Linked DNA regions of Diceros bicornis minor. The protein of the gene in region 1 binds, or shares a complex with, the protein of each later gene. Links are inferred from orthologs where the notes say so. Each region holds a gene or a part of one and is shown on either strand. Other genes may lie near its edges.

Region 1 (14,709 bases):
AAAAGCCAGGAAACAAAGGCACAAAGAGAGGGTTAGGGACAGAGTGACAAAGAGAGAGATGACACTACGAGACAGAAAGACGGACACACACAGAAACTGGGAGAGACACACACACACACAGGTGGATAAACAGCCTTCAGTCTTTGAATGAAGGAATGAAGGAATGAATGAGTGGCTAGAGAGCCAACGACCAAGAAACACAAATGGAAAATAAGGAAAAGATCAGACAACCCTGCCCGCCTGCTCCAGCCTGGCTGAATGCCTTGGCCCAGTCCCTTCCCATTCTGGGCCTCAGTTTCTACTCTGTGAAATGAGCGGCGTGAAGTACCCAGTTGTGTTTCTGAGAGAGCCATGTCCTCAGAACATCTGAGCGACAGACATCAGATCCAGAGACTAGGCACAGAGACACCCAAACCCAGTGGCCGAAGGGGGACCCAGCTCCTTCCCCACACACCCACCTGCAAAAATGACGGACACACACCAGGGCCAGCAGACTCCCCGCACAACAGTGACAGGCACACAGCAAAGACAGGCGTAATGCGCAAACACGGACATACTTTCTCTTAGACGCTGACTCACAGAGATACACATGAAACACACAGTAACAGGCAGACCCGCAACACTGATGTAGTCACATGCAGACCCTTTGAGGCAGGGGGTGTGCAGACAAACTGTTACAGAGACACACATCTAAGAGTGTGAGACCCAGAGGGCCCCAGGGATAGGTGGACAAAGAGAACCACACACTCACAACAATAAATACACATGCACGAATCTGATACCCCTAGACACCCACAGTGAGCACACACCCAGAGATGAACAGATGCACAAACCCACACAATTGAGGGATACAAACAATAGATAATAACACCCTGAGGCAGACCACAGGGACCTCAATAGGCAGGGTGATATCCTGTGACCCACAGAGGCGCACGCGCACACTCACAGATAAGACCAACACACAGTCTCCTTCAATTAACACCTAGTTTGTCCCTTCTCCTCCTCCCTAGCTTAACCAAAACTTGAGCAGCCTCTGGGCTCCCTGAGCCTCAGAGCTAGAGGTGTGTGTCTAGGGAGTGGGGGTGGGGAGATGGCCTTGGTCACTGCAGAGCCACCTCCCCCTGCTGCCCTGGCCCCACCGCTGCGGGGGCTGCTATCTGTGAGCAAACTGTCCTTGGGATCACGGACAGCAAAGAGCCAAAGGTTAGGTCGATGCCTCCCCTAAGCCCTCCCCTAGGGCAGCCAGCTCTTGGGGGCAGGAAGGAGAGGGGACAGGGAACAGCAATTCAGGTGTTCAAGCCCCACAGGGCCCACCGGCCAAGGAAAAGAGACATTCAGTAAGAGGCAGAATTGGTGCCTTTAATGGTCAAACACAGCCAGTATCCCACTTCCCAGGCAAGAACCAGACTTCAGTAGAAATTCCCCACACCCTAACCAGTCCTTTCTGGCTTCTCCTGGACCAAACGGGGTAATGGGCTCCAGACAAAACCAAGGAGGATTCTCATCTCCATCCCTCACTCAAATCACACCAAAGAGACAGTAACGATATGGCCAACACAGGGGCTGTAGTGGCCGTCACAGTGCACAATGGTACACTGGTTATGTCAGCCAGCCAAGATGGTGGCCATCGTAGCACTCAGTGGGCCAAAAAAGAGGTTATGCAAGGTGGTGGCCAACTTGACACCTTCTATGCCAAGAAGTCCACCAAAAAAGAAATGATCACAGCACCCAATGGGCCAAAGAAGATGTAATTGAAATGGTATCACCATCACACTCAAAGGGTCAGCCAAGAGAATGTCCATCACAGTGCCCAAAGGGCCAACCAAGATGTCATCCCAGATGGTGGCCATCAGAGCACCCAATGGATCAACCAATAACATCGATCAACATGGCAGTCTTCGCAGTACCCAGTGGGCCCACCAAGATGTCAATGGCAGTTATCACAGTACCCAATGGATCGACACGACGCCCACAGAGACGGCAGTCACCACAGTAGGTAATAGACCAACCTAGATGTTAACTGATGGGACAAGCAAAGTGTCACCAGAAGGATCAGGCCCCAAGAGCCTGATGGTGTGAGCTGCAGCCATACCCCACCCACCATGCTCCCACCCCCCTGCTAGGACGCATTAAGCAGAGAGCGGGAATAGAGGCCCTGGTAGTAGACTCCAGGCTCCCCACCCTCTGCCCCGTAGCCCCCAAACCCCACGTCCAGTTTGGGAGGCGCCGGTGTCTGTTCCGACATCAGGTTGTTGATGGAGAAAGGGTGGTTGAAGTTGTAAGGCGCATCCAGCTTCAGCTCCCCTGGGAGCTCCAGGCCAGTGAAATAGGGGGCGGAGGAAGGGGGCGAGCCACAGTCCAGAGCCCCCACATCTTCCCCACCCTGGGCCTCAGGCTCGGGGGCTGGAGGCTGGGGGGGAGAGGTGACCGTGGCAGCAGGCGTGGTGGTTGAGGCGGCAGACCCCGCCGCACCATTCCTGGAGGTGGAGGTCCCGCCACCCCCTTTCTTCACCTTCTCCTCCAGCTTGAATCGCTTCTGGCGGCGCAGGTAGCAGCCATTCTCAAACATGTTACCTGAGCTGGGGTGCAAGGCCCAGTAGGAGCCCTTGCCCGGCTTGTCTGGGGAGCGCGCCACCTTGACGAAGCAGTCGTTGAAAGACAGCGAGTGGCGGATGGAATTCTGCCAGCGCTGCTGGTTCTCCCGGTAGTAGGGGAAGAGGTCCATGATCCACTGGTAGATCTCGCTCAGGGTCAGCATCTTGCCCGGCGCCTGCTGGATGGCCATGGTGATGAGCGAGATGTAGGAATATGGCGGCTTGGCATGTGCCAGGGGCCGCCGGTACCCTTTCGGCATCTCCTTCCCATGCGCCAGCCCCGGTCCCGGGCCCCCGTACCCTGAGCTGCTTCCTCCACCACTGCTGGCACCCAGGCCCGGGAAGGTGGGCCCCAGGGGTGTGGCAGGGGCTGGGGGCGCTAGGGGTCCTGAGGGCAGTGGGGAGGCAGGGAGCCCCCCAGGAGGGTAGGGAGAGCTCAGAGGGTTCAAGGTCATGTAGGAGTTGAGGGGGGCCATGGTGGGCACTGGGGTCACCGGAGAGAAGACCTGCAGGGAGAGAAAGAGAGATGGGGGCGGTCAGTGAGTCTCCATTCTGCTGGTCAACAAAGGGTTGCTGGACCCACGGCATGTCCTTCTGTCTGTCTGTCTGTCCTCCCTTGTCTATGAGACGGTGCTATCCTTACCTCTCTCTGTAGATAGCTGTCTCTTTAAGTCTCTCTCTTCCCCCTCCTCATGTACCCCCTCCCTGACCCCATCCCCACCCCCCGACGCTCCCATATACTGGAGCTCACACTTTCAGCGGTTCTCAAAGTGTGGTCCAGGACACTCTGGGGAGTCTCCAAGGCCCTTTTAGGGTATCATGAGGCGAAAATTATTTTCATAATCATGCTAAGATATTATTGGCCTTTTTCACTCTCTTTCTGAGTGTACAGTGGAGTTTTCCAGAGGCCCCAGGGACATGTGACAGTGCAACAGACAGAATGTAGCAGGAGCTACAAGAAGCCAGCTGTCTTCCACTGAACCAGACACTAAGGAGATTTGCAAAAATGTAACAGTGCCACTCCTCTCACTAAATGTTTTGAAATATAATTATTTTAATAAAAATACATGATTTATACTAACAAATTGTTGCTATTTTAAAATGAATTAATACATATTTTTTAAATTTCTCAGCTTTAATTTCTAATGTAACTATTGATAGACATAACCCACATCAACGAAAACCATGTGGGGTCCTCAATAATTTTTTGAGTGTAAAGAGATCCTGAGACCAAAAAAAAAAAAAAAAAAATTGAGACGACCTGATTTACCTAATAATCTAATCTATATGTGTAGCTTTCTATGAATCTTTTAGGTTATAAAATTATAGTTTTTATAGGTCGAAAATGTTTGAATATCAGAAATCACGTTTCAACCTAATATATATCATCTATTTGGTATATATCATCCAATCTAAGATATCACTTAAGCTGCAGTATTATTTTAAGTATCAATGAGAATGGAAAAAAAACTGTCAATTATAATCGCTAGACACCATTGACTCTAAAACCCATTCCATTTTCAGAAAGTTCAAATGGGGAAAAAACTTGCGTCTTAGCTCAATGAAATATGATAGACATTGCTATGGCTCTCTAAATAACCCTCTATATACTCTTGCACCCATTCAACAAATATTTATTGGCCACCTACTCTGTGCCAGGCACTGCTCCAAGCACTTCACAGGAAGTCTCCTTTCAGCCTTACAACGGCGCTGGGGGGAGACGGGATTATGACGCCCATTTTACAGATGAGCAAGCTGAGGCCCAGAGAGGTTGTCTGGGGTCACACAGCAAGGAAGGGGCAGAACCGGGATTCTGAATCCAGGCAGTCTGGCTCCAGATCCGTGTTCTGGATTATGCTATACAAGCAGGAACCAAGACGGACTGCAACATCTGTCCCCATGGAGATGATAGTCCAGTGGGAAATGAACAAGATAAGCAAGGGAAAATATGATGCGTGGTGGACGGTGATTTCTCTCTTTCTGTGTGTATCTACCCCTTTCATCCACCGTCTTCCATCCTCTCTCCCTCAATGCTCCATCTGCCTGGCTGCCCTGCTCCCTCCCTCCCCCTGCCCCCCCCCCCCCCCCCCCGCCCCGGGGTCTCCCAGCACTGGGGTTGCTGCTGTAGCTCCGGCGGGAGCCACCTTTGCTATGAGTCCATGGGTCCCTGTCTTGTCCCCTGTCACGTAAGTGTCTGCAGGTCCCAAGGTCCAGAGAGAAAAGGGAATTACCAGGGTCACTCACGAAGTCAGGGACAGGTGGCAACCAACCTAGGTCTGAGTTCCAATCAGAAACTCTCCCCTCTTTCTTTACGTGTCTCCAGGTAGCTCTTTTCTCCCATGTCTCTTTGAATCTCCCTGTTGGCTCTGTGTGTCTCTGTCCATCTTTCTCCCTGCCTCAGTACGTCTACACCCCTCCCTCTCCCACTCCCCATGTCCATTTCCCCAACCCCCCGCTGCCCCACTGTCTTTGCCTTTCCCACTCTCTTTCTCCTCTCCATGCTCCCTCCCTTTATATCTCCCTCTCCTCCCTGCTGTCTCCCCCTGTCTCTCCCTCATCTCTCCCCCTTCTGCCTTTCTCTCTTTGTGACTCTCCCCAACCCCATCTCTCTCCCCTGTCCTCTCCCCTCCCAACCTGTCTCTCCCATCTCTGTCTCCCTCCCTTGGCACTATCTTTCCCTCTGTCTCTCTCTACCCCACTCCTCTCCCACCTCCCATCTCTCTTTCTCCTTCAGCTCATCCTTGTATCTAGCTGTCTCCTTCCCTCAGCACCACCATCTCACCAGAAGTCTCACATGGAAATTGGAGCCCCAGCTACTCCCCTGCCCGCATGCACCGGTCTCCCCCGGGGTTGGCTGGTTCTGCCCCCTCCCCAGAATATGGAAAGAGGGTCCTTCAGAGATGAGAGGAGAAGGTGATGGACTCAGATGGTGATGGACCCCACTTCTCCAGCTCAGTCAGACTCTCTTGTATCACAGAGGAGGACAGACTGGGACCCCAGGGCCCTCCTTTTCTGGCTCCCCACCCACCCGGAAGTCCTCCTTGAGGTCTGACCTCAAGCACTCCAGCTGCCCTAATCCACCCTAGGCTTTCCCACGCCCCGGGGCTGGGATGAACCCCCAGTGTCCGGGTGTGAGCCGGATCTCCCCCGCCAGGGTGGGGTGAGATGGGGGAAGCCCTCAGGGGACCTGCACCCCCACCCCAGGAGGCTGGAATTTCTCCCCTTTCATTTCCTTATTGTCTCTGGAGGAGGGTGTGACAGGGAGCAGAGGGAGGCAGTGTGAAGCCAGAAGCCTAGTTTCTAGTCCCAGTCCCAGCCCAGGACCTCAAGCAGCCCCCAACACTCTAAGAGGCTTCAGACTTTCCATCTCTAAAATGTGGGAGCAGTTGAACCAGCTGATCTGTGAGATCCAGAGGCCAATGGGGTCACCCCAGGGTGATAACTTCCCAATTTCCTTCCAGACAGAGAGCCAGCCTGCGGGGGTCAACATCATCCTAGCAGGAGGGTGTGGTGGGCAAGAAGCAGTTTAGGGGCCCTCTCAGTTTTCTGTTGCTGAGTGAGCCCAGATGTTTCTCTTCCCATTGGTCTGACCCAAGGGGAGGAGATGGCTCGGCTGATGAGAAAGCTGGGGAGACCCTCAGACGGTATTTCCATTTCCAGCCCCCCATATGCTGACTCTTCCAAAATATGCCCCCAAATGCTGATCATCTCTAGACTGTCCCTCCATTTCTGACACAATTTCCACACCAATTGTCCCCTAAACTTCAGACTGTGCCCCAAATAATGACTTCTCCATCCTAGACCCCCACAATCTACTTCTGAAGATGTGCCTCCAAAACAGATTTGTGGTTGGTTCCCTTAAATCATGTCCCCAGAGTCTGAACTCTCTGGGGGTAAACCCAGTGGGATCCCCCACTACCTAAGAGCCTCCACGTCCAAGCTGGTCTCTGCCTTCCCCACCAAACAACTGACACCTCCAGCCGCCCCACCTCCACCTCTCAACAGTCCCAATCCCTTCCCTGGCCAGCCTGCCCCACCCCACGTGCACCTCACACCTCTGCAGCCCCAGGACTGGCCCCTCCTGGGCACCTTGCCAAGTTCTGAAGGCCTGGGGATCCAGGAGTCCCACCCTACAGCTTCAAACCCCAGACCCAGGACTCAGGCACACTGGGGCCCCTGTAACTTCCAGATCTCAGTCTCCTTGGAGAACTCAACCATTCCAGCCCCACACCCCCACTGAAGCCCGCAGTCTCCTTCCAGGTTAGGAACCCAAGTGTCCAGACCCCCATAAGCCTCTGACTAGGACTCTGCCCCTCTCTCCACTTCGCAATGTTGACTATGGAGACAGTGAGCTAAGGAGAAGGAGTCCTTGCAGTAAGAGGAATGGGAGTTAGACTTAGAGAAGGACTTGCTGTTTGCTGAAGTGAGGGGACTAAGATATACTCCCGCCCCCTTACTCCAGGGTGGCCTTGTCTGAGATGAGACTGCTGAGGACATTAGCAATTACTGGAGATTGCTGGAAGGAGGGGGGTAGGTGCGAAATCTGAAACCCTCCAGCCTCCAACAAGTAGAATTCCTGCTGAGGGTCTCTAATAACCATTAAACCACTGAAGTTCAGTTGGGAGGGGTGAGGGTCCTAAGTAGCCATGGGGGGAAATGGAGATTGATCCCTCTCTGGCCAGTGCTATTGCTCACATCTCCTGCTCTCAGGTTCGCAATTCTGACCCCACTTGGGCCCCTACCTATGTGAACCCCAAACCAACCCACCTGTTATTTCAGACTCCCCAAGGCAAGCTTCTTCTCTGAGCATCCCCATCTCTTATCCCCGAGCACCAACCTCAATTTCTGAACTTATCTTAGATTGCTACCCGGATCCTTAGCCCTGAACCCTAATTCTGATTTCTACCTCAGAACCCCCACCTTTAACACTATATTCTAACCCTGAGCTCCCAAGTCAGACTTCCCTTAATGGTGACCTCTCTCTCCTATCTCTTAGTTCCCGTCTTTCCCCCCAATTTTGAATCCCATTTCCTAATCCTCCAGCTCTGTCCCCTGTCCTGGAGCTCTGATTCCTATCTTTGATTTGTTCATTTTAATTCCTTGGATTTTAGGTCCCTAACACCCAACCCTGACGTTTAAGCTCTGACATGACCGTTGCCTAAATTTTCCTGACTCCCATTTAAGCCCTCACGCGGACTAGCCTACCTAAACCGCGCTCGCGTGCCTTGTCCCCCGTCCCTGACTCCTACACCTGGTCTTCGTGTCTCTAGTTCCTCCGCTCCTAAACTCTAGTTGGGGCCCCCATTTGAGCCCACACCGCGGTCCTTGCCCCCACATAAGCCCGCACCCCGATTCCTGCCCCCCATTTCCCGCTCAGCCATCCCCGAGGACACACCTCGCCCGCCTCCGGGTAGTAGCTCCATTCGGCCAGGTCATGGGCCTCCATCTTCACCGAGCCCAGCATCCCCCGGGCCTGCGCCCCCCCCCGCCCCCGCTCCGGCCCGGGGGGACCGAACGCTTCGGATCTCTCAGCCGGCACGGCCCGAGTTCTGACCGGGGCACGCCCGTCTGACCGCCCGGGGTCCCAGCCGTCCCGGGCTCCGCGGGAGGCGGCCACGCTTTATAGCCGGGACACCCCCCCGCCCTCACCCGCCCCGGGCTCCCCTCCCGCCTCCCCGAGGGCGGCGCGCTCGGACTGGGGCGCCCCCTGCGGGATTGCGAAGAGATAGACCTCAGGCGTCGGGAGCCGCAGCCCAGGGACGCGAGAGCCGGAGATGGCAGAAGAGTGAGGGAGCTACTGGTGGGAGACACTACTGATGCTAAGGGCCCCGAGGGCAGAACTCTGGGGCCCTTCTACCCCAGGGGGTTTCATCATCTCGACAGGAGAAGCGAATAGCCAGAGCGCGGCATGACCGCCGCGGAGGAAAGGGGGCTCAGAGCGCAGTGCACTCCAGGGATCCGGATATGCCAGTATAAGGACCAGTAAGAGACCCTCGAAACCATATTCTCATTGATCGCACTGGAAGACTGAAGCTTCCGACAGCTAGAAATGCTCCAGACTGTGTAAATGGTCAGGACCAAAGGTGGATGGGATCGGGGCCTCTGCTCAGATCCCAGTGGGGCAACAGACCACCTCCAAGACCTAGGAGCTTCGCCGCCCGAACTCGCCACTCCCTCTAACGCCAGCCGTCCAGGGACTGAGAACCTCTGTGAACTCCATTTCCCAGAAGCCTCTAGCTCCCTTTCCGTCCCGCGCCTCCGCCAAGGGACTACATTTCCCAGAAGGGATGGCGTCAGGAGGCCGGAAATGAAGAGCCGCCCGGGAGTAGTCTGGGGGAGGGCGGAAAGCCACTCGAGAGGCGTGAGGGAGGGGCGGGGTCGGGCCGCGGTGTGGACTGCATTTCCCGGCGACCCTTGTGTGTGCGGCGCGTGCGCAGTGTCACGGCGGCGAACGGAAGATGGCGGCGGCGGCGTCTGTGAAGAGGCGCTGCTGAGGGGGCGCGAGGGGTACGGAGGCCGGAGCTGCGGTGAGCGGGGGGGCGGCGTGGGGGCCCGGCGACGAAAGGAAGAGGGACCCTGAAGCGGCAGGGGCGCCGGTCGGGGGTTGGGGGCGCTGTGAAGAGGGGAGCAGTGACGTTCGGGACCTCACTGTCTTCCCCTGCTCAGGACCCTCCCGTGGCTGCCCAGTGGCCTCAGGCAAAGTTCCAACGTGGCCCCCGAGGCGCGTCCGCCCCGCCGGCCTCGACTCTGCCTCTTTGCTCCTTCCCCACTTCGCACAGCTGCACTGGCCTTCCGGTTCCTCAAACTCGCCTTGCGCCTTCCCGCCTCAGCCTTTTGCACACGCTGTCTCCCTTTTACCCATTCCGCCTGGCTGACTCCCATTCATCTCTCGGGTCTTGGCACCGACGTCACTTCCTCTGCGAGGCCCTCCTTTCCCGCCCTCCGTCCCGAAATCCGCAGGCTGAACGCTCTCATAGGTCCCTGTTCCTCTCCTTCATGTCACGTGTGGTCTGGTTTGTTATTGGACCTGTATTGGTGCGGCTGTTTGATCGTGTCTGTGACCGTGAGCTCCACGGGGGCAGGGACTGGGTGGGTGCTGGTCACACCGAAGACACCCAGTTAGTGTTCGTTGAATGAATGAAAGATCCTCCTGGGGCCGCTCTGTGTAAAAGAGGGAGTCGTCATACTCCCAGGTGGGAGTGGGGGAGTGGTACTCCATAAGGAGTGCACGGGAGAGAAAGGAAACAATCATGTTGCTGATAGCAAACGACTGCAGACTCCTCGAATGTTCTTTAATAGAGACACTGGCAGGAAGAAACTGATGACATGCACATAATAAAGTAAAATATAAATAAAATGAGAGAGGAGGGAAAAAGGAATGAGGAAAATCTCTATACACTGATATAGAGAGTGGGCTCCAGCATATATTAAGTGAAAACAAATGAAATGGAAGACAGTGTTTATTCTGTGCTGCCTTTTTACAAAAAAAAAAAGGAAAGTATGTGTATGTTTAAAAAGAATAAAAGGATAAGCCAAAAAGTGGAAGAGGAAGGACAGAGAGTAAAACATTTTGGTGGATCTCAAAGTATTATCATCATGAAAAGAGTGGAAAGTTTCGTCGTGAAAGCTTCATTCTGTTCTGATGGGGGACAGCAGTATGCTGGTGTCGGGTGGATGTGCCCCTTGGCTTCCATGAACAGACCTGGGGTGGAGAAGCACTTCCTTTCAGAGAGGCGTACAGCAGAGTGTTGAAGAGGATAGATTCTGCGCCCATAGTGCTGGTCTGCATCTTACAATCTATGAGCCTTCGGTCAAGTGACTTTACCTCCCTGGCCTTCAAATTTCTTTGTCTGTTAAATGGAGGTTAAAAATAGTACCTGCCTCCAGCCAGCCCCAATGGCCTAGTGGTTAAGTTTGGTGCCCTCTGTGTTGGCAGCCCAGGTTCAGTTCCGGGCGTGGACCTACACTGCTCTGTCAGCAGCTATGCTGTGCTGGTGGCCCACATGCTGAAAAATAGAGGAAGATTGGCACAGATGTTAGCTCAGGGCGAATCTTCCTCAACAACAACAACAAAAAATAGTACCTGCCTCAAAGAGTCGGTGTTGGGGAGGGAGAGGAAATTGAAATTTGAAGTAGGGTCATCAGGGAATACCTCTCTGCTGGGATATTTGAGTTGAGACCTGAAGGAAATGCGGAAGGAGGGAGCTGTGCCAGTATCTGGGGCGAGGAGTATTCCAGGCAGAAGGAAGAGAAGGACAAAGGCTTTGAGGAGTGGGCATGCTTGGCATGTTCAGGGGACAAGAAGGAGGCCAGAGTGGCTGGAGCAGAGAAAGCTGGGAAGGAAATGAGGGCAGAGGTAAAAGGGGCCAGATCATATAAGGTCTTGTAGGCTTATAGTGGGGACATTGGTTTTGACCCTAAGCAAGATGTGGGGGTGAGTGGCAGCAGGGAGACTAGGAAGGAGGCTGTTGGATAGTCATTCATTCAGCAGACATCTGGTGAGTAACTCTTGTATACATTACATCATGGTCCTTTTGAAAGATGCATCTTCTTACCCTCCTCAAATTATTGTTAACAGTTTGTGCAGTATCCTTCAGATCTTTTCTGTGTACATAAAAATAGTAGCTATACTTACCTCACGTTCCTAACTCATCTACCCCTCAGAAGAGTCCTGGGATGGAAAGACTGTTCCTATCTCTTTTACAGAAGAGGAAACTGAGACCCCACTGTTTCTTGCCTTAGGTCATTCTGCGTATACTACACAAACTTGACAAAATTGCATATATTTTTCTGTGGTGCAGCAGGCTGTCGGGACATCTTTTTATGATGATAATACATTGAGATCCACCAAACTTTTTTTTACCCTTTCCTCCCATTTCTGCCTTTTGGTTTATCCTTTCAGTTCTTTTCTTTTTTTAACATGTATACATATTTCCGTTTCTTTTGCAAAAAAGGAGAATACAGAAAACGTCTTCCACTTTGCTTGTTTTCACTTAATATTTGCTGGAGCCCACTGTTTATCAGTGTGGAGAGATCTTCCTCATTCTTTTTTCCCCCCTCCCTCATTCCTTTTTACAGTCGCATGGTATTTTATTATGTGGATATATCATGGTTTTCCAACCAATCTCCCTATTTAAGAACATTTGGGTTCTGATAGTCTTTTGCTATTAGGAATAGTGCTGTAGTTGATAGCCTTCTTATTTCATAATTTTGCCAGTGTGGCTTTGGGACAGATGCCCAGAAGTCTCCCCCCTCCTTTTTAAAAACAACTCCGTGGGCCGGCCCCGTGGCTTAGCGGTTAAGTGCACGCGCTCCAAGTGCACGCGCTCCGCTGCTGGCAGCCCGGGTTCGGATCCCGGGCGCGCACCGCTTCTCCGGCCATGCTGGGGCTGCGTCCCACATACAGCAACTGGAAGGATATGCAGCTGTGACATACAACTATCTACTGCGGCTTTGGGGGGAAAAAATAAATAAATAAAATCTTTAAAAAAAAAAAAAAACAACTCCATAATATTCCAGAAAATGGCTGAAACATAACTTACTTAACTAGGCCTTTTCTGACATATTGAGTAGTTACTGTGTGCAGGACTTTGACTGGTGTTGCTCAGAGCTTTGCTTTATAAAAGCTTGCTCTGGTGTCAGTCCAGAGTGCAGCCCAGATGGAGAGACAGGAAGCTCTGAGACCAGGGAGTTGGCTGCTGTGTGTTCATTTGTTCAGTCATTCAGCAGATGTGTGTGGTCAGCCCGTTATGTGTAAAGTTCTGGAAGTGCGGCTTGGTGCTCCACGAGGTACTGCCTTTGACCCGGGAGACATTAGTCTCCCCCAGATTTACAACCCTCATGTACACATACAGTCTGAGACACACCATGCGAGGGTGTGCTTCAGAAGACCAGCAGGGACAGGACAGGCTGGAAAGGAGGGTTGAGCCCTTTGCAATGGTGGGGTGAAGGTCCAGCCCATCACAGGGGCCCAAAGCTTGATCTCTCCTCTTCTCCAGGGACTACCCAACGGCAGCCATGGCGGGCAGCAGTGGGGACAGCGTCACTCGCCGGAGTGTGGCATCACAGTTTTTCACACAAGAGGAGGGGCCTGGCATCGATGGCATGACCACCTCAGAGAGAGTGAGCGTGAAGAGAAGGGCTTGGAGTGGGGAGGCACAGCCCCTGTCTTTGGGCAATGCCCCCCCCACCCCCACCCCCGGTGTCAGAGCACAGGAAGTATGAAGGGGCTGGGCTGGCAAGGCTTGCACCATCATCTGCCTCTTCCTCCTTCCAGGTGGTGGATCTCCTGAACCAGGCAGCGCTGATCACCAATGATTCAAAGATCACAGTGCTCAAACAGGTGAGGAGACAGGGTGATGCTGGGCTCAGCAGGGCAAGGGGAGGGGGGATGGAAATCTGAGAAAGAAGACATGGTAACAACACTAGTGTCCACATTTAAGCACTTAGGATATGCCAGCGTAGTGCAGTGCAGCACAGGCATGCTCTCATTTAATTTTCACAGAATCTCTGTGAGGCAGGGTAATTGCATTCCCATTTTATACAGAAAGAAGCCGAGTCTCAGAGCTTAAAAACTTAGTCCAGGGTCACTCAGCTAGGGGCTGGCTGAACCAGGACTTGAATGCTGGGTTCCAGGTGGAAATCCTATGCTCTTCATCCTTGTATTTCCTCTCTGCCAGGGTCCTGTCTGATGGGGAAGACAGGTCACTGGACAGTGAGGGCCCAGAGTAGGCAGGGCTGGCATGGAGGAGCCCATAGAGGGCTCCTGACCCAGCCTAGGGGGTGGGGAGTCAGGGAGGGCTTTCTGGAAGAGGGGACATCTGAGCTGAGACCTGGAGGATGAGGAGAGAAGCAGGCCAAGTAAGAGAGGGAGAGCATCTTGAGCAGAGGGCACACTAGCCTGTGCAAAGACAAAAGAAGACAAGGGGAATTGGGGGCCCTGGGTGTGGTTCAGAACAGGAGGCAGGTGGAGTTCAGAGGTTGCAGGGTCAGGTTGCCTGGGTGAGAACCTCGGTTCTGCTACTTGCTCAGCACGTGGCCTTGGGTTAGCCGACTCCACCTCAGCAGTAGAGCGGGGTACTGATAGGGCCTCCCTCGTGGGGTGGCTGTGAGGGCCATTCAACACCAGCACTGTGGGTCATAGGAGCCAGGCCTGTGCTGGCACTGGGCTTATCGGAGAATGTCTGTGGGAAGGGCTTATTCCAGAGAGCCTGGAGGGGCTCAGGAAGCAGCTTCTTACTGTCATAAAATGCTTTCTGAATTGTGGCAGTGTGAATGGGGCATAGAAGCAGGAGGAGAGTGGGGAGAATTGATGGGCAGGTGAAAGGAGACCCTCCTCAGGCAGGTGGGAGGCCTGCAGCCCTTCCCTCTTTCCTTTAGCCCACTTCTGTATCAGGGACCCATTATCCACCAGGACCTGCGCCTTGTAGAATTTTCTTATTGAAGCCTCTCAGCGGCCCTATGAGTTCGTCTTTAAGATCCCCATTTTATAGAACAGCAAACTGAGGCTCAGGGGAGCTGCTTGCCCAGGCCATGGGGCAGGGAGTGGCAGAGCCAAGATTTGAACTGAGTTTATCTGCTGCTGACCTCCATGCTATTTTCCCCTACACACTCCTGTCGGCACTGGTTAGACCCTGGTTTTATGAGTGTATTCCTCCTCCCCATCCCCAATCTCCTTCCAGGTTCAGGAGCTGATCATCAACAAAGATCCCACACTACTGGACAACTTCCTGGATGTGAGTGACCGACGGGAGAGTAGGAGTGTGGGTGTACGGTAAGGGGATGGATCCTGGTACAGCCCTGACCCACCTTTCTCCTGATGTTGGCAGGAAATCATCGCTTTCCAAGCAGACAAGTCGATTGAAGTGCGCAAGTTTGTCATCGGCTTCATCGAGGAGGCATGGTATGGGGCAGCGCAAGGAGCCCCTGGGCACACCCCTGGTGGAGTCGGTGGCGTCTTCAGCTCCTGGCCTGGCCCTGCCCTCCACTTCCCAGGCCCCTTCTCCCTGCCATGCACGCTGACTGCCCAGCAAATACTTAATAAGGTCAAAAGCTTGGGCTCATCCATGATTCCTCTACTTCCACACTTCACATCTGCATCATCAGTAAGGACTGT
Region 2 (14,897 bases), on another chromosome or scaffold:
CCCAGCATGATCCAGTCATGAGCCCTGGCCTGGGAGACAGTCTGGAGCTGGTGTCCAGGCAGAGCCCTTATGCTTCTGAGCTCACGGCCATCCCCACAGCTGCTCTTCCGCAGGTGGCCCCACCATCCTCCGAGGGGTGCAGGGGACACCCAGGCTCCTCCCCCACCTTGGCCCACCAGTCCACCTGAAAGATTGGCAGTGCACCTTGTCCAGGACATTTCCTTCTCCATCCTCCTCGAGGGGCCTGTCCCTCCTTCCTTCCCCACTCTTATCATGGTCTCTGCTCTCCTGGTTATCTCAGTGGCTTCCGTGTGCCTCATTCGTTGGTTGAGACTGCTTTTCTCCCTGGTGCCTGAAAATACTTAAGCTTATAATTTTCTGTCATGGAAGAGAAGTAACTCTGCTCTGATTCCGAAACACTGAGGGGCTGCCTGGGCTCTCGTCCTGGCTCTGCATTTTAAGAGCCATGCAGCCTTTCAGTGCCTCAGTTTCCCCATCTGTAAAATGGAAATAGTGATAGGACCTAACTCACAGGTAGAGATAAATTGTAGCCATTGTTATTCGTATCTTTGCCATGACTTGAGGTGCTCTCTGGGCCAAGACCCCCAGGGCTACGTCCCCAGCCTGACCCTCCTCCAGCTCCAGGCACGTGGCCCTTGAAATTCTCACTGTCTTGGCTTCTGTGTGCAAAATAGAACTCCGACTCCCTGCTCACCCCCCAAACCTCATCCAGACCTGATCCGCAGCACATGTTCCTCGTTTAGCCAACGGGAATAATCCACAATCGTTCTGTGAACGTGTGCTGAATGCCCCCGCGTGGCCAGCTCTGGGGACCCAGCAGTGACACCAGGATGCAGGATACGGGATACAGACCTGCCTGCCCAGGCCCCTCCCCACGGCCCCCGGCAGCTGCTTGCTCCTCTGGTCTCAGGCCACTTTGGAGAAGCCAGTTTACTCAGCGCTGGCTGGGTGGCGGGGTGGGGTGACATGACACCAAGTGCAGCAGGCAGGATCAAGGGCAGATAGAGGAGACATTTCTCTCCGGGATTGTGGGGCTGGCGTTTCCCTGGTGATCTCAGGGTGGGGGCAGGGCTGTTGGGCAGGGCGGGGCATAGCCAGGGAGCTGCTGGAGACCCTGACCTGGGGGATGAGTAATTTGGCTACTTCAGCCTGAGTCTAGACCTGGGTCCCTGACACCCAGAGCCTCCTGCAACCACGTCTCTGGAGACTGGCTGAGTGCCCTTGGGGAGCGCTGGCTGAGAGGGGGCAGTGTGGTCCATTCCAGGGAGGGGGACTGGCTCCACCTCTGAAGGCAGGAGTGTCGGAGCTACTCACTACCTCTTTCTTTTAAGGAGTCATTGGTGCAGCTCGTTCCCCAGGTTTTCCCCCGGTTAATTTTCTTTTAGAAATCTATCCTTTTTTTTTTTTAACTTTATTTATTTATTTTTGCCCACAAAGCCCCAGTAGATAGTTGTACGTGACAGTTGCACATCCTTCTAGTTGCTGTATGTGGGACACGGCCTCAGCGTGGCCGGAGAAGCAGTGCGTTGGTGCGCGCCCGGGATCCGAACCCGGGCCGCCAGTAGCGGCGCGTGCGCACTTAACCACTAAGCCACGGGGCCGGCCCTTATCCTTTTTTTTTTTTTAATATTTTATTTATTTATTTTTCCCCCCCAAAGCCCCAGCAGATTGTCGTTTGTCACAGTTGCACATCCCTCCAGTCGCTGCATGTGGGACGCGGCCCCAGCGCGGCCGGAGAAGCGGTGCATCGCTGCTCACCCGGGATCCAAACCCCGGGCCGCCAGCAGCAGAGTGCGCGTACCCAACCGCCAAGCCACGGGGCCAGCCCTGCCCTTATCTTTTTATTTCTAAGTTGTATCAGCAGTCTTCAAATCTTCATTTTTTCCAATGATCTTAGTAAAGCTTTTTTCCCCGTGTCTGTTGCAAGGTGTTCTTTCACAACTTTTATCATCTTCTAACTCCATTTAGCTTGTGATGAAATGCTCAGTTTTTCTCTTTTTTCTGGCATGCCTTCTTTATCTGCAGGGATGTTATATGCTTCTTATTCTGTTTTTCCCTTGGTATGTCTGTGTGTGATTCAGTGGCTTCAACTGGTCACACATAACCGAGCTGGGCCTCCCTACTCAAGGGTGGGGAGTAGGGGGCGAGACAGCTCCCTCATGCCTGCCCCAGCTCTGCCGTCATCTGTGTTCAATAAGCAGCCTGTTCTTCCCCTCCCCCGCTGTTATCTGGACTGTTTCCTTCCTTTGCGCCTGGCAGCTCTATCCGTCTGCTCAATTTGGATTCTGGTCCAACAGGTTCTTCCCACGCCCACCCGTCTTCCTCATCCTGTCTTCCTCATCGGCTCGGACTCAGAGGTGTCCTCATTATGGCCATTTTTTTTTTTTTTATTTTTTTGGTGAGGAAGATCAGCCCTGAGCTAACAGCCACGCCAACCTTTTTTTGCTGAGGAAGACTGGCCCTGGGCTAACATCTGTGCCTATCTTCCTCCACTTTATGTGGGACGCCACCACAGCATGGCCTGACAAGCGGTGCGTCGGTGCACGCCCGGGATCTGAACCTGGGCCGCCAGCAGGCACTTAACCGCTACGCCACGGGGCCAGCCCTGTGTATGGCCACTTTCTAATTTACGTCGGTTGTGCTGTTGACTTTCTGTTTTTATTTTTCCTCAACACCATGTCCTTGAGGTTTATCAATGGTGCAGTATGCAAAAATGTTTTTCTTTTTGTGAGGAAGATTGTCCCTGAGCTACATCTGTACCAATCTTCCTCTATTTTGTATGTGGGACGCCGCCACAGCATGGTTGATGAGTGGTGCATAGGTCTGCACCCTGGATCCGAACCCTTGAACCTCGGGCCACCGAAGCAGAGTGCGGGAACTTAAGCACTACACCACAGGGCCGGCCCCTATTTCATCATTTCTGTCCGTCACATGCGGTTTCTAGTGCATGCAGCCGCCATCGTCACTTGCCCTGGCCCCTGGGAAGAACTCGGGGAGCTGCAGTGTTTCCGTGAAAACCCTCCCACCCTCCTCAGGGGCCTGTGCAAGAACCTCTTGGTGAGGGACAGGGGTCTCAGGGACATGAGACTGAATTTCGCCAGCATTGTCCATTTGTTCCTAACGGCTGAAGCAGTTAACACTCCTGCCAGCAGTGCAGGTGGGTTTTTATTTCCCTGATTTCTCACCAACACTGTATCATCCAATTTTCTAGCTTCTGCCAATCTGATGGCTGCGTAACCCAATTTTAACTGAATTTGCTTTCTTCTGATTACTGGAGAGATTGCGCATCACTATTCTTATTAGTCATTTCAATTTCCCCTGTACGCACTGCTTATTCATATTCTTTGTACTTTTTTTTTTCTTTTTTGGTGAGGAAGATTGGCCCTGAGCTAATATCTGTGCTATCTCTTTTGTATGCGGGATGCTGCCACAGCATGGCTTGATGGGTGGTATGTAGGTCTGCGCCTGGGATCTGAACCTGTGAACCCCAGGCCGCTTAAGTGAGAGCACGTGAACTTAACCACTACGCCACTGGGCTGGCCCCTATACATTTTTCCATTGCTTTTTCCTCTTGATTTTCAAGAGTTCCACAAATATTCTAGATCAGCACTGTTCCACAGGACTTTCTGAAATTATGGAAGTGTTCATCTGTGCTTTATTAGTTTCCTAGGGCTGCTGTAACATATTACCACAAACTGAGGGGCTTAAAGCAACAGAAACGTACTCTCTCTCAGTTCTGGAGACTTGACGTCTGAAATCAAGGTGTCATCAGGATTGGTTCCTCATGAAGACTCTGAGGGAAAATTGGTTTCATGCCTCTCTCCAGCTTCTGGTGTTGCCAGCAATCTTTGGGGTTCTTTGGCTTGTGGATGCTCCAGTCTCCAAAGACGCCTGTCATGTGGCTTTCTCCTCTCTGAATGTCTCCTCCTTGTCTCTGTGTGCGAATTTCCTTCTCCTTTCTCTTATAAAGACACTACTCACGGGCCGGCCCTGCGGCTTAGCAGTTAAGTGCGCGCGCTCCACTACTGGTGGCCCGGGTGCGGATCCCAGGTGCGCACCAATACACCACTTCTCCGGCCATGCTGAGGCCGTGTCCCACATACAGCAACTAGAAGGATGTGCAGCTATGACATACAACTATCTACTGGGGCTTTGGGGAGAAAAAAGGAGGAGGATTGGCAACAGATGTTAGCTCTTCCTCAGCAAAAAGAGGAGGATTAGCAGGGATGTTAGCTCAGGGCTGATCTTCCTCTCACACACACACACACACACACAAAAAGACACCACTCACTGGATTATCGCTTTCATTCATTATGACCTCATCTTAATTTGATTACATGTGCAAAGACTCTATTTCCAAATAAGGTCACATTCACAGGTACTGAGGGTTAGGACTTCAACGTATTCTTTCAGTGAACTGCAAAAGAGTTCCTAGACCCAATTTCTGTGTGTGTGTGCGCGCGTACGCGCATACCCTTCCCCACACCAACAAGCAGTTCTGGGACATCAGCAGGGTATCTGAGAATTCAACTCAATTCTGACACTAGAAGGTACCCAGAGATAGAGTAAGATTCCACAGCAAGAGGGCTCAGTCCCACAAGACTGCCCTCCACTTCAGACGCGAGTCGCAAGCCCAGGTTGTTGCCTGTGCTTCTGACCAACTGGCTGTATAAATCAAAGGTTTGCATGACCCCCTTCTTTGCTAGAACAGCTCACAAAACTCAAGAAAATGGCTGACAAAACTTGTACTAGATTACCGATTTATTACGAAGGACATTAAAGGATAGGAATCAACAGCCAGATGAAGAGATACACAGAGCGAAGTCCTGAACAAAGGAGCTTCTGTAATTGACCACCAACTGTTGATTCAACATCAAGCCCCACCCGTCTTCCCCAGAAACTAGGGGGTGGGACTGCAAGTTCCAACCCTCTGATCACGGCTGGTTCCCCTGGCAACCAGCCCCTACCCTTGGGTGGGGTACAAAAGTCACCTCATTAACATAAGACACCTTTACCACTCTCGACACTGAGGAAATTCCAAGGGTTTTGGGAGCTGTGAGCCAGGAACTGTGGATGAAGACTAAATATGTATGAGAAATATATTTTGGTCATCTGAATGACCAAATTTCTTATAAATCACAATATCACACAAACAATTCAATCCACAGTAGACACTAGTCTACTAGTCAGTGGCTACTGACTAGTCATATGTGGATACTGAGGACTTGAAATGTTGCTAGTGTAACTGAGAAACTGCATTTTTAATTTTAATTAAACTACAGTTTAAATAGCCATATATGTTTAGCGGGTACTGTATTGAACAGCACAGTTCTAGACACTTATCTTTGATCATTTTGGATGTTGCAAAAATTTTCTCCTATGCTGTTAACAGTCAGTAGTGTCCTTTGTTGAAACGAAATCCTTACTTTTGATGATATCAGACCTATCATTTTTTCCTAGATGTTGTATGCATCTAGGTCTTAAGCATTTGGTCCTAAGCATGCATTTGGTCTTAAGCAATCCTTGCACACCCAAAGAATATAAATATATTTCCCTACTTTTTTTCGATTGGCTTTCTGATTTTACCTTTCATATTTATGCCTTTAATCTATCTAGAGTTTACCTTTATATATGGTGTGAGGTGAGGATCCAACTTTTTATATCCATACACTGAGCCAATTTTCCCAACCCAGCCTACAGAAACAATCCCTCCTTTTCCAGTACGTGGTACCCCATATCGTATACCACATTCCCATATATACGTGGGTCTGCTTATGGGCTATTGTATTGCCTATTGTTTGTCTTTTCCTACAACGGTACTACATGATCTTTATTATTATAATCTCGATAAATCTTAATATCTGTAGGGTGAGTTTCCACATTTTACTCTTTTTCAAGTTGACTTAGTGAGACTCTGAACTAACACGGGACCAGAATTACTCTTCCACCTGAGACAACTAAAAAGCTATCCAAGATGTGTGCAACAACAGTTCTAAGTATACTGGCCATAATGCAACGAACAGCCATGACCCCTGAGAGAAAGGAAACAAACGAGTTGAGTCTTATGACTGCTCCAGCTTACTGCCTGGAGAGTTTTCAGGATGTGGAGCAAGAAGGGGGATTCAGGCAGGGCCCAGTGGTCTCCCTGAGTTGAGAGAATGGATCTGGGAGGCCAAGATGGCTAGAGCTCACAGGGCAGAAAGAGGACATAGCTTAGGACTGTCTAGTGTATGTGTGTGAGGAAAATATGAGGCCAAGAAAAGAGCCAACCAAAAGGATTAGAGGGGAAACTCCCCAGAGTTCAAGCTGGGCCAGGAGCAGTGCCTCCACCAACCAGCCAGCGAGCAAACTCACTCTCTGGGGACTTCAATTACACATGTATCGGCTGCTTGAAGTTGCCCCACAGCTCAGTGATGCTCTGTTCATTTTTTTCATCCTTTTTTTGTTTCACTTTTCTGTCTCATTTATAATTTCTACTTGTATGTCTTCAATGTCATTAACCTTCTCTTCTGCAATGTCTAATCTATCATTAATCCCATCCAGGGTATTTTTCATATCAGATATTTTAGCACAATCCAGAAAAGAACAAACTGATAAATTGTACTTTATCAAACTTAAGAACTTTATCAAACTTGTCCTTTGAAAGACACTGATCAGAGAATAAGACAAGCCAAAGACAGGGAGAAAATATTTACAAATTGCATATCTGGTGTACGTGTGTGTGTGTATATATGTGTCTAGATATTTATCAAGATATATATACATCCATCAGTGAGTGCCGCCACAGGGACATCAGTTCTAAATACATTGGATGTAAGGCAGTGAAGACATCTTGGCTGGAAATGGAGGCCTTAGCCCTTTAGAGCTCAGAGTCTGTGAATGTGGTGAGGCAGAGGAGCACAGAGTGCTAAAATAAATGTGCAGAGCCACAAGAGCAAGTTGAATGTGGCGTCAGGAGCACAAAAAGGCCAGAGGGAGAAGAGGGAGGAAGGAGGAAGCTCTTGAAGTTGGTGGCATCTATCTGAATCTCAATGACTGGACTAAGACTTGAGGTGTGGGGCAGCACATGCAGAGGTAAAAAGGCAGAGGACAGTTTTCAGTTGCTGGTCCATTAAGTTCTAAACAGGATGCAGGGAGAGGTGAGGTACTGTCAGGCCACAATGCCTTTGAATTCGGGTTAATTGAGCACACTTGAGAAGCCATGGAGGGGTTTTGTTTTCAAAATGTAAATAGTTTTATTATTTGTTGTCAATGTAAAAGAAAATACAAAGTAAAAAAAACCAAAAAAAAAAAAGTAAAAATGTTCATAGAAGTATAAAGGGCATTCAAAGCACCTTTAATCCCACTATCCATAAATACCTGCTGTCTCACTTCCACATTGTGGTGTGTGTCCTCTTGGATTCACATTCTGCATACATTCAAATATACAGAAGCCAGGTGGGAAAGCTGCCCTCGGTCCTCCTCCATTCATCCCTCAAACCCCCAAGTCTTTCCAAGTAAATGCTTCCTTGTTGCAGCCATGCACTGTCCTCCCCCACCCTCATCATGCCCAGAGGTCCTTCAAGATTCCGAGCGCCTGGTTCTCAGCCTTTTTCTCCACGAAGACATCACGAGCAACAAGAAGACACCAGTCTCAGTGAGGGTGGTCCCTCACCACCCTGGCTTCTGAGTTTCTTACCTCCTCTCCAAAAGGGAGACTGACTTCCACCCGTGCCTATGGTCACACCTCGCCTACAGGTATTCAAAGAGTAGCCACTTCCACATCCTGTTTCAAGCATCCTAGTCTACCACCGCCTCACTCTAGTGACATTTCTTCCACTCCACTGGAACTCCAACTCGGCGCGCATCGTGCCTTTCCACTAACGCCATCCTCGCATGTCCTTATCCCTCACGTCACCCACTTCTGAATCCATGGCAGGAAATCGCAATTCCCTTGCCCCCTACCCTTTGTTGCGCTCCCACTCCAAGCCTGCATCCAGGCGGCTAGACAACAAAACCGTGTTGACTAATTTCACTGTCGTAGCATGTCCCCAAATCTCAAGCCCGCAGCCCTCCTAACAAACCCCAGGACCTGGTCAGTTTGCTCTCCCACCGCACGAGGTCTCCACGGGTCCCCTCCTCGCATCACCTCCGCTGCCTTTCTAATCCTCTCTCCACACACTTTCAAAACCTCATTTAAATGTTGAACTTCGCGGTTTGCAGCGGAGAGCGGTGTGCTGACGTCTGTGTGAGCCCGGGGACTGGGTGGTGAGAGGCCGTGGCGGTCGTTCTAGGGGCGGCGCAGGGGTTCGGACTAGAGGCAGGGGCACGCAAGGAGCGACACGGGGGGTCCCAGGGACAGGCTGAGACTGAGCGCAGCGCAGACCCAGGGAGGCAGCGCCTGGGCGGCAGGAGAGAGAACCACGGGCCCCACGGGGACGGAGGGGGCGCGCAGAGCCGTCCCGGGAGACGCCGGGTCGCGAACAGCCATCTCCCACCACCGTCCCCGCGGGCCCGGCGACGACGCGGAACGTTCAGGACGTCACAGCCTCCGGCGCGGCGCCTTACGCGTCACTCCCGGCGACTGGGGCCGGGCCTTGTGACGTCAGGACGCCGGCGCGGGGCGCTGGGCTGGCAGGCCGCCCCTGTGCGGAGCGCAGGCCTCGACCGCGCACGCCAGAGCAGCATCGTCCCCGCCGGCCGGCACCCTGGGACCGAGTCCCGCCGTTCGCGGCCCGGCGCTCTGGGCCGGGGCGGGGAGGCCGCCGGCACGCCGTGCACACGCCCGCGCCGCGCGTCCCGACGCGCTACGTGGCCGGCGGCGCCGCTTCCGCGTCATGACTTCCGGGTGCCGCGGCCGCCATCTTGCTCGCGCGGAAGCGCCGCGGCTGGGTGGGAGTCCCGGAGCGGGAGAGTCGCGGACGGTGCGGCCGCCGCCATGCCGTCGTCGCCGCTGCGGGTGGCGGTGGTGTGCTCAAGCAACCAGAACCGGAGCATGGAGGCGCACAACATCCTCAGGTAGTGGGGCCTCCGCCCTGGCCCAGCGCGCCCCGTCGGACGCCGGCCGACCGGCCGTCCTTCCGCCCGCTCCTGGCCCGTGCTGAGCGGCGGCGGCCCGGGCTCCTGGCTCCCGGACCCCGGCCCCTGCTGGGCGGCGGCGGCCCCGGCTCCTGGCCCCTCAGGCCTGAAGCCGGCGGCCGGGCGGCGGCCCCTGAAGGACGCCAGAGGGGCCGCGCCGCATCCGGTCTCGTTGGCCTCGGGGCCGAGCGCAGCGAGGAGTCGACAAGGCTCGGTCGGCCGCGCGGTGTCCTCACGTGTGTTTAGCGTCGCGGGAAAATTGAGGTTCTGAGCTGAAATTTCCCGCGTCGCGGAAACTTCAAAGCTCCCAGTAAGCCCGAAATGCTGATGCTGGTTGGTCCCCTTTGCACTCATGCTTTGCGTTGGGCCTTCTGTGAAATACTTCTCGGTGAGGCGGGAAGTGCCAAGGCCAAGGTGAGGGTCTACAAGATGATAGTGTCCGCCCCCTGCGTCCCCAGGGCGTGTCGGTTACCAGATCTGCTGGAAAACTCGAACAACGTAAGCTCAGGATAGAACGAGGCTTAGATAAACGGAAATGGCCTATTTTGTTAACTTCATGACTTTGTATTTGCTCCTATCTACATTTTAAAGCCTCATACAAAAAAATCCTCCCTACCCACTTGAAAGCGTTCGGTAATTTCTGGAATCCACGTGAGTGCGGTTTCGCGCTCCTAGTTTATATTTCAGTACTAACTCCTCTTTTGTGACCCTGGCGTTGTATGTGTTGAATAAAATTTTATTCCTGTTTGATATAGTTTGTTCGTTCAAAATCACTTTACCAAATGTGAAATTGACCGCTTGCATTACAGTGTAAATTAGGTATACATGTTAACTGAGAGAGTAAAAGTTGAAAGTGCCTCTTCTCCCGAAGTTTCCATACGTGGACATTAAAAGACAACAATGCCTCGCTGTCTTGCTGCCCTAGTTCAGCTTTGACGCCTCGCTAACTTGGGGAAATTAGTATTTCCACACGCCTCTCGTTTCTTAACGAAGCTGGTAGTGTCGGGTGTCCACAATCTGCTAATTATGAGTTTTAATTCTTCCAAACATCTACCACGCTGTCCACAGTATTCGCTTAATGTCACGTTTTGGTGGAGTGTCCTGTGCTTCGACCGTAACAAATTAACGTGAAGGTTGTTTTTAACCTAAAATTTTTTATATTGTAATGTTTTAAAATTAGAAACGTGCTAGAATTACACTGTGCTAGGTCTAATCCCCAAACCGCATTTATCTCTTCAGAGTCATTAAAGTTTGGTAAATTTAAGCAAAAGAATGCAAAGTTTACACTCCTGGAAAATAAAATTTCATATCTTTGGTTAGAATAACAAGAGAACTGGAGACCATCTCCTCCAGCTTGGTGGGGCTGGCATCCTTTGTTTAAGCTCTCCTGCCATATCTGCGTTAGGATGAAACCTTACCAAGGGAGCTGCTTTTTTTTTTTTTTTAATTGATGTTTTAATAGTTTTTAACATTGTGAGATTTTGGGTTGTACATTATTGTTTGTCCATCACCATATATATGTCCCAAGGGAGCTGCTTTTTAATTACCTGTAGCAACTTTGTTAATGAAATCAGACAGTCCTTACAAGATGGCAAGTCCTTGTTTAGTTCCCAGTGGCCTGAGCTGGCCCAGCATTGGGTCTCCTGGTGGGGGGAGGGGGAGGGAGAAGAGCCCCTCCTGGTAATCACCAAGTAGGAGATGTTACTTGTGCTTCTGCCCACTTGACTGTCTTGCACATTTACTCATAAAAAGAGAATGACGGCAAAAGGTAAGTTTAGGGTAACATGTTATTGATATCATGAATGTGAATTTTTTTTGACATGAATCTTTAATTTCTAAAATGCCTATATTTGGGGGATGTTTTTCTTTGTTAAAATAGTAGTATTTGCTTGTAGCAAAGAATTCTTATTGTAGAAAATGCATAGAAGATGAAGAAGATAAAGGTCACTCCAAGTACCATTTTGGGGTAGGTCCTTCTGGATGTTCTGTGTACTCATACACACACTGAAGGGAGACCAGAATACCGTTGTGTCATGTCTCCTCACGTAATGTTGTGAACATAGGTCTGACTTCAATATTCATTTCTTTCTTTCTTTTTTTTTTTTTTTTTTTGTGAGGAAGATCAGCCCTGAGCTAACATCCATGCCAATCCTCCTCTTTTTGCTGAGGAAGACTGGCCCTGGGCTAACATCTGTGCCTATCTTCCCCTGCTTTATATGGGATGCCGCCACAGCACGGCCTGACAAGTGGTAAGTTGGTGCGTACCCCGGATCTGAACCCGGGCCGCCAGCATCGGAGTGCACGCACTTAACCGCTACACCACAGGGCCGGCCCCTCAATATTCATTTCTACTTTCATTTTGATATATTGAATTTGAATACACTACTCACATTGAGTGATAGCAGTGGTTAGAAAACCACAGCACAAGAATCCAGAGGAATCCCGTGGTGGTTAATTTTGTAACCAACACCCCATTGTTAGACATTTGCACCTTGTATTTTTCAGTCTTATGATGTTAACATTCTTGTGCCATATAAATCTTTGCACGCTTTTCTGGTTATTTCTTGGGCATAAATTCCTAGAGATAGAATCACTGAGTCAAAAGGTAGGCGTATTTGACATTTTCATACATTTTGCCAGACTGCCTTCCAGAAAAGTACCTATTTATAGAATTCCCATTTCCTCACAATCTGGGCATTATTTTCATCTTTTCATTCTGCCAGAGCACAAAAAGAGTCTGACCCTTCCTTTAGTTTTAAAATTTCTGTTGAGACTGAACAACTTTTCATGTCATTTTCACTTTTGAAAATTATTCATGGCTTTATCTCTATTGGGATTATTTACAGGATTTAAAAACATTTTTAGGAAATTTGTATGATGGTTTTCTGTTACAGCTAGGAGAGCTTATAAAAGTCAGATTTAGAGACTTCAGCCTTAAAGATGATGTTTGTGAAAAGCGTAGAAAAAGGTATGATAAGTTAAAAAAGCAGGAAAATTGTGTATGCAGTTTGGTTACAACTACACAAAACTGCATGGGAAAGGTTCTGAAATGCAATATCAAAGGGAATGCAGTTAATTGAACCTGCATGGTAGGTAGTGTATCAGTGAGGGCCCCCCCCCTTTGGTCCTATTGAAAATCAGCTTGGACTGTATTTTTCTGGCGTGTCAAATACAAGTAATGTTGGCATTTTCTGGAGCTAGTCATAATGTTCCCTGGAGTGATCATTTTTGATCTTTTGAGACTACGTTATTTTCAAATACCAGTCTGCGGAGTCCTTTAGGATTTTTAGGGGGTGTCAATAGACTGTATGTTTCCACAGGCCTGCTGTTCTTTGTTCTCCATGGATTAAGATTTCCCTTTGGAGCCAGTTAATTTATTTTTTTGTTCCAAACCATCTCCTACATTTTTTTTGTGTGTGTGAGGAAGATCAGCCCTGAGCTAGCATCCATGCCAATCCTCCCCCTTTTTGCTGAGGAAGACCAGCTCTGAGCTAATATCTATTGCCAATCCTCCTCCTTTTTTTTTTCCCCCCAAAACCCCAGTAGATAGTTGTATGTCATAGTTGCACATCCCTCTAGTTGCTGTATGTGGGACGCAGCCTCAGCATGGCCAGAGAAGCAGTGCATCAGTGCGCGCCCGGGATCCGAACCCCAGGCCAGCAGTAGCGGAGCGCGCACTTAACCGCTAAGCCACGGGGCTGGCCCAAGGAAGATATTTTTTTTTTTTTTTTTTAGATTTTATTTATTTATTTTTTCCCCCCAAAGCCCCAGTAGATAGTTGTATGTCATAGCTGCACATCCTTCTAGTTGCTGTATGTGGGACTCGGCCTCAGGATGGACGGAGAAGTGGTGCCTCGGTGCGTGCCCGGGATCCGAACCCGGGCCACCAGCATTGGAGCGCGTGCACTTAACCACCAAGCCACGGGGCCGGCCCGGAAGATATATTTTTAATTGTAGCAATTCAAAACAAATTTTAAGGAAAGTCTTCTGTAAATTCCTGTACTGAATTTTTAGTATGTTTTCAATCATGACTTCCTGGGTGGTGTGATTTTGGCGAGATGAGCAGAGAGGCTGCAAATGTGGAAGAAACAAAGTTAGAGTCCATCTGTTGAGCACTTCTGTGCCAGGGGCTTTCCCAACGCCATCTGATTTCATCCTCACAGCTCTTAGGATGCCCACACTTGTACAGGTGAGGAGACAAGACCTAGAGCAAGAAGCCCCGGCTTCCTGAATGACAGCCAGGATTTGAATACAAGGGGCTCTGGTCATGATGAGTAATAGAACTGAGACTCAAGATGGGAGAAAAGAGGAGCTGAAGAAGGGTCCGAGGTGTGGGGAGTACAGTCAGCTGAGGTCCTGTGATCCTCTGGTTGGGTGGGGCTCTCAAGTCTTAATGTCTTAACCAGATACGTGGGCCCCAAGCCACACTGGGATAGAGGTGCTCAACCTCCACCAGACAGGACCGGGTCTCTGCTCCCTGAGATTGTGCCGTCACACAAACATGCAGGATTTGAACCCAGGCAGCCTGACACAGCACACTCCCAGTCACAGTGCTGAACCCCTCTCTGGTCTTGAAGACCGTCCAAGAAGCTTCTTGTCTTTTGCCAGGGAGGGGTAGTCGGCTGTGCCCTGCAGCGCCTTTGGCTGCATCTTTTTTGTTTGTTTGTTTGTTTGAGGAAGAGGGCCACCTTGGCTAACATCTGTTGCCAATCTTCCTTTTTTTTCTTTTTTCTCCTCAAAGCCCCAGTACATAGTTGTATATCTTAGTTGTAGGTCTTTCTAATTGTTGTATGTGGGATGCTGCCTTAGCATGTCTTGATGAACGGTGAGTAGATCCTTGCCGAGGATCCGAACCAGCGAACCCCAGGCTGCCAAAGCGGAATGGGTGAACATAGCTGCTACAACCCTGGGCCGGCCCTTGCATCTTTGATGTTGTGGTTCTGGGTACATTTGAAGAAAGTGAACTGGAAACCATTTGGGAAGGTGAAAGGATTTGAATCACATCCTTAAGAGAAAGGCAGAGGATGTGGAAGAGGCACTTACAGGGAGACACATTTGCCTTCATAGGATTTAAGGGACTGTGCATTGTGTTCTGTTTTTGTCTTCAGGAGCAGAACTAAGATCAGGAGTATGGTTGGAAGAAGGTAGAGTTCTGTTTGAATGTGAACATTGAGACAGATCTGGGCAGACCAAGCATGGTACCGGCTTCTGCAGCTACAGCTGTCTTCACTGCGTTAGGGATCATCTTCCCCAACCTTTTATAGATGAGAACAAGTGGAGCCCAGCGTGGGGAAGACAGTTCACAGGTTCACACGTGGCTAGTAGCACGTTCTTGCTTAGGACTGCTTAGTGTTGGAGCTGGAAGAACCACATTGATGGTGGTTGTGTTGCTGGGCCATCTGAAGTACCAGATACAGAGGACCTGGTCTGTGCTGGTATTGTGTAGAGGGGGAGACGCTGGGGAGGCTGGCAGTGGCCAGCAGAGCAAGGTGGCCTATGAGAAGCCGGGTTGAGGAAAAGCAGACCTGGAGGAGGGACGTCTGAGCAGGGGTGCTGACGAGCTAAATGTAATGGCCATTTGTCAAGCTCAACACCCAATGATGCTTCATGCTTAGAAGTCTCTCCGTTTTGTTCTTGTCCTTGTGGGAGGATAAGAATGAAATAAATCCTAGAAAATGTTTATCAAGATGTGTTTAGGGCCCACATTTTGCTCGTGATGACATAAATTTTATTGGAATGTTACGATTTCAAAAGAGTTTATCTTCTCAGTTTTTTGGCTGTACCACAGTGAAATTACAGGCAAACATTTAAGTGTGATG

What was found.
Region 2: the proteins of SYMPK (region 1) and SSU72 are in contact, whole or in part, in a crystal structure (PDB 4H3K), measured with the Homo sapiens proteins. The link is inferred for Diceros bicornis minor from reciprocal best matches to the Homo sapiens genes SYMPK and SSU72. Residues at the interface, in NP_004810.2 of Homo sapiens: Val123, Lys127, Leu131, Gln135, Asp175, Asn176, Asp177, Gly178, Thr181, His182, Lys185, Glu188, Pro204, Arg205, Arg206, Gln207, Ser250, Ile251, Thr254, Thr255, Asn262, Ala290, Ser292, Gln293, Ser295, Ser296, Lys299, Asn300, Leu303, His304; in NP_054907.1 of Homo sapiens: Glu113, Tyr116, Asp117, Val120, Asn124, Glu127, Gln128, Glu129, Thr130, Cys131, Gln132, Pro133, His135, Asp167, Glu169, Asn170, Asp173, Gln177, Glu180, Thr186, Phe187, Leu188, His189, Thr190, Val191, Phe193.

What each region holds. Positions count from the first base shown.
Region 1 is NC_080773.1:20,034,523-20,049,231, reverse strand, and holds the start of SYMPK (symplekin), read left to right. Parts: upstream 1-9,046; 5' UTR 9,047-9,121; intron 9,122-12,592; 5' UTR 12,593-12,611; coding exon 12,612-12,716; intron 12,717-12,870; coding exon 12,871-12,936; intron 12,937-14,275; coding exon 14,276-14,329; intron 14,330-14,422; coding exon 14,423-14,496; intron 14,497-14,709. Other genes in the region: FOXA3 (hepatocyte nuclear factor 3-gamma), read right to left, coding at 2,120-3,100, 7,990-8,058. UniProt on the Homo sapiens protein: Scaffold protein that functions as a component of a multimolecular complex involved in histone mRNA 3'-end processing. Specific component of the tight junction (TJ) plaque, but might not be an exclusively junctional component. May have a house-keeping rule.
Region 2 is NC_080752.1:22,445,755-22,460,651, reverse strand, and holds the start of SSU72 (RNA polymerase II subunit A C-terminal domain phosphatase SSU72), read left to right. Parts: upstream 1-8,751; 5' UTR 8,752-8,938; coding exon 8,939-9,018; intron 9,019-14,897. UniProt on the Homo sapiens protein: Protein phosphatase that catalyzes the dephosphorylation of the C-terminal domain of RNA polymerase II. Plays a role in RNA processing and termination. Plays a role in pre-mRNA polyadenylation via its interaction with SYMPK.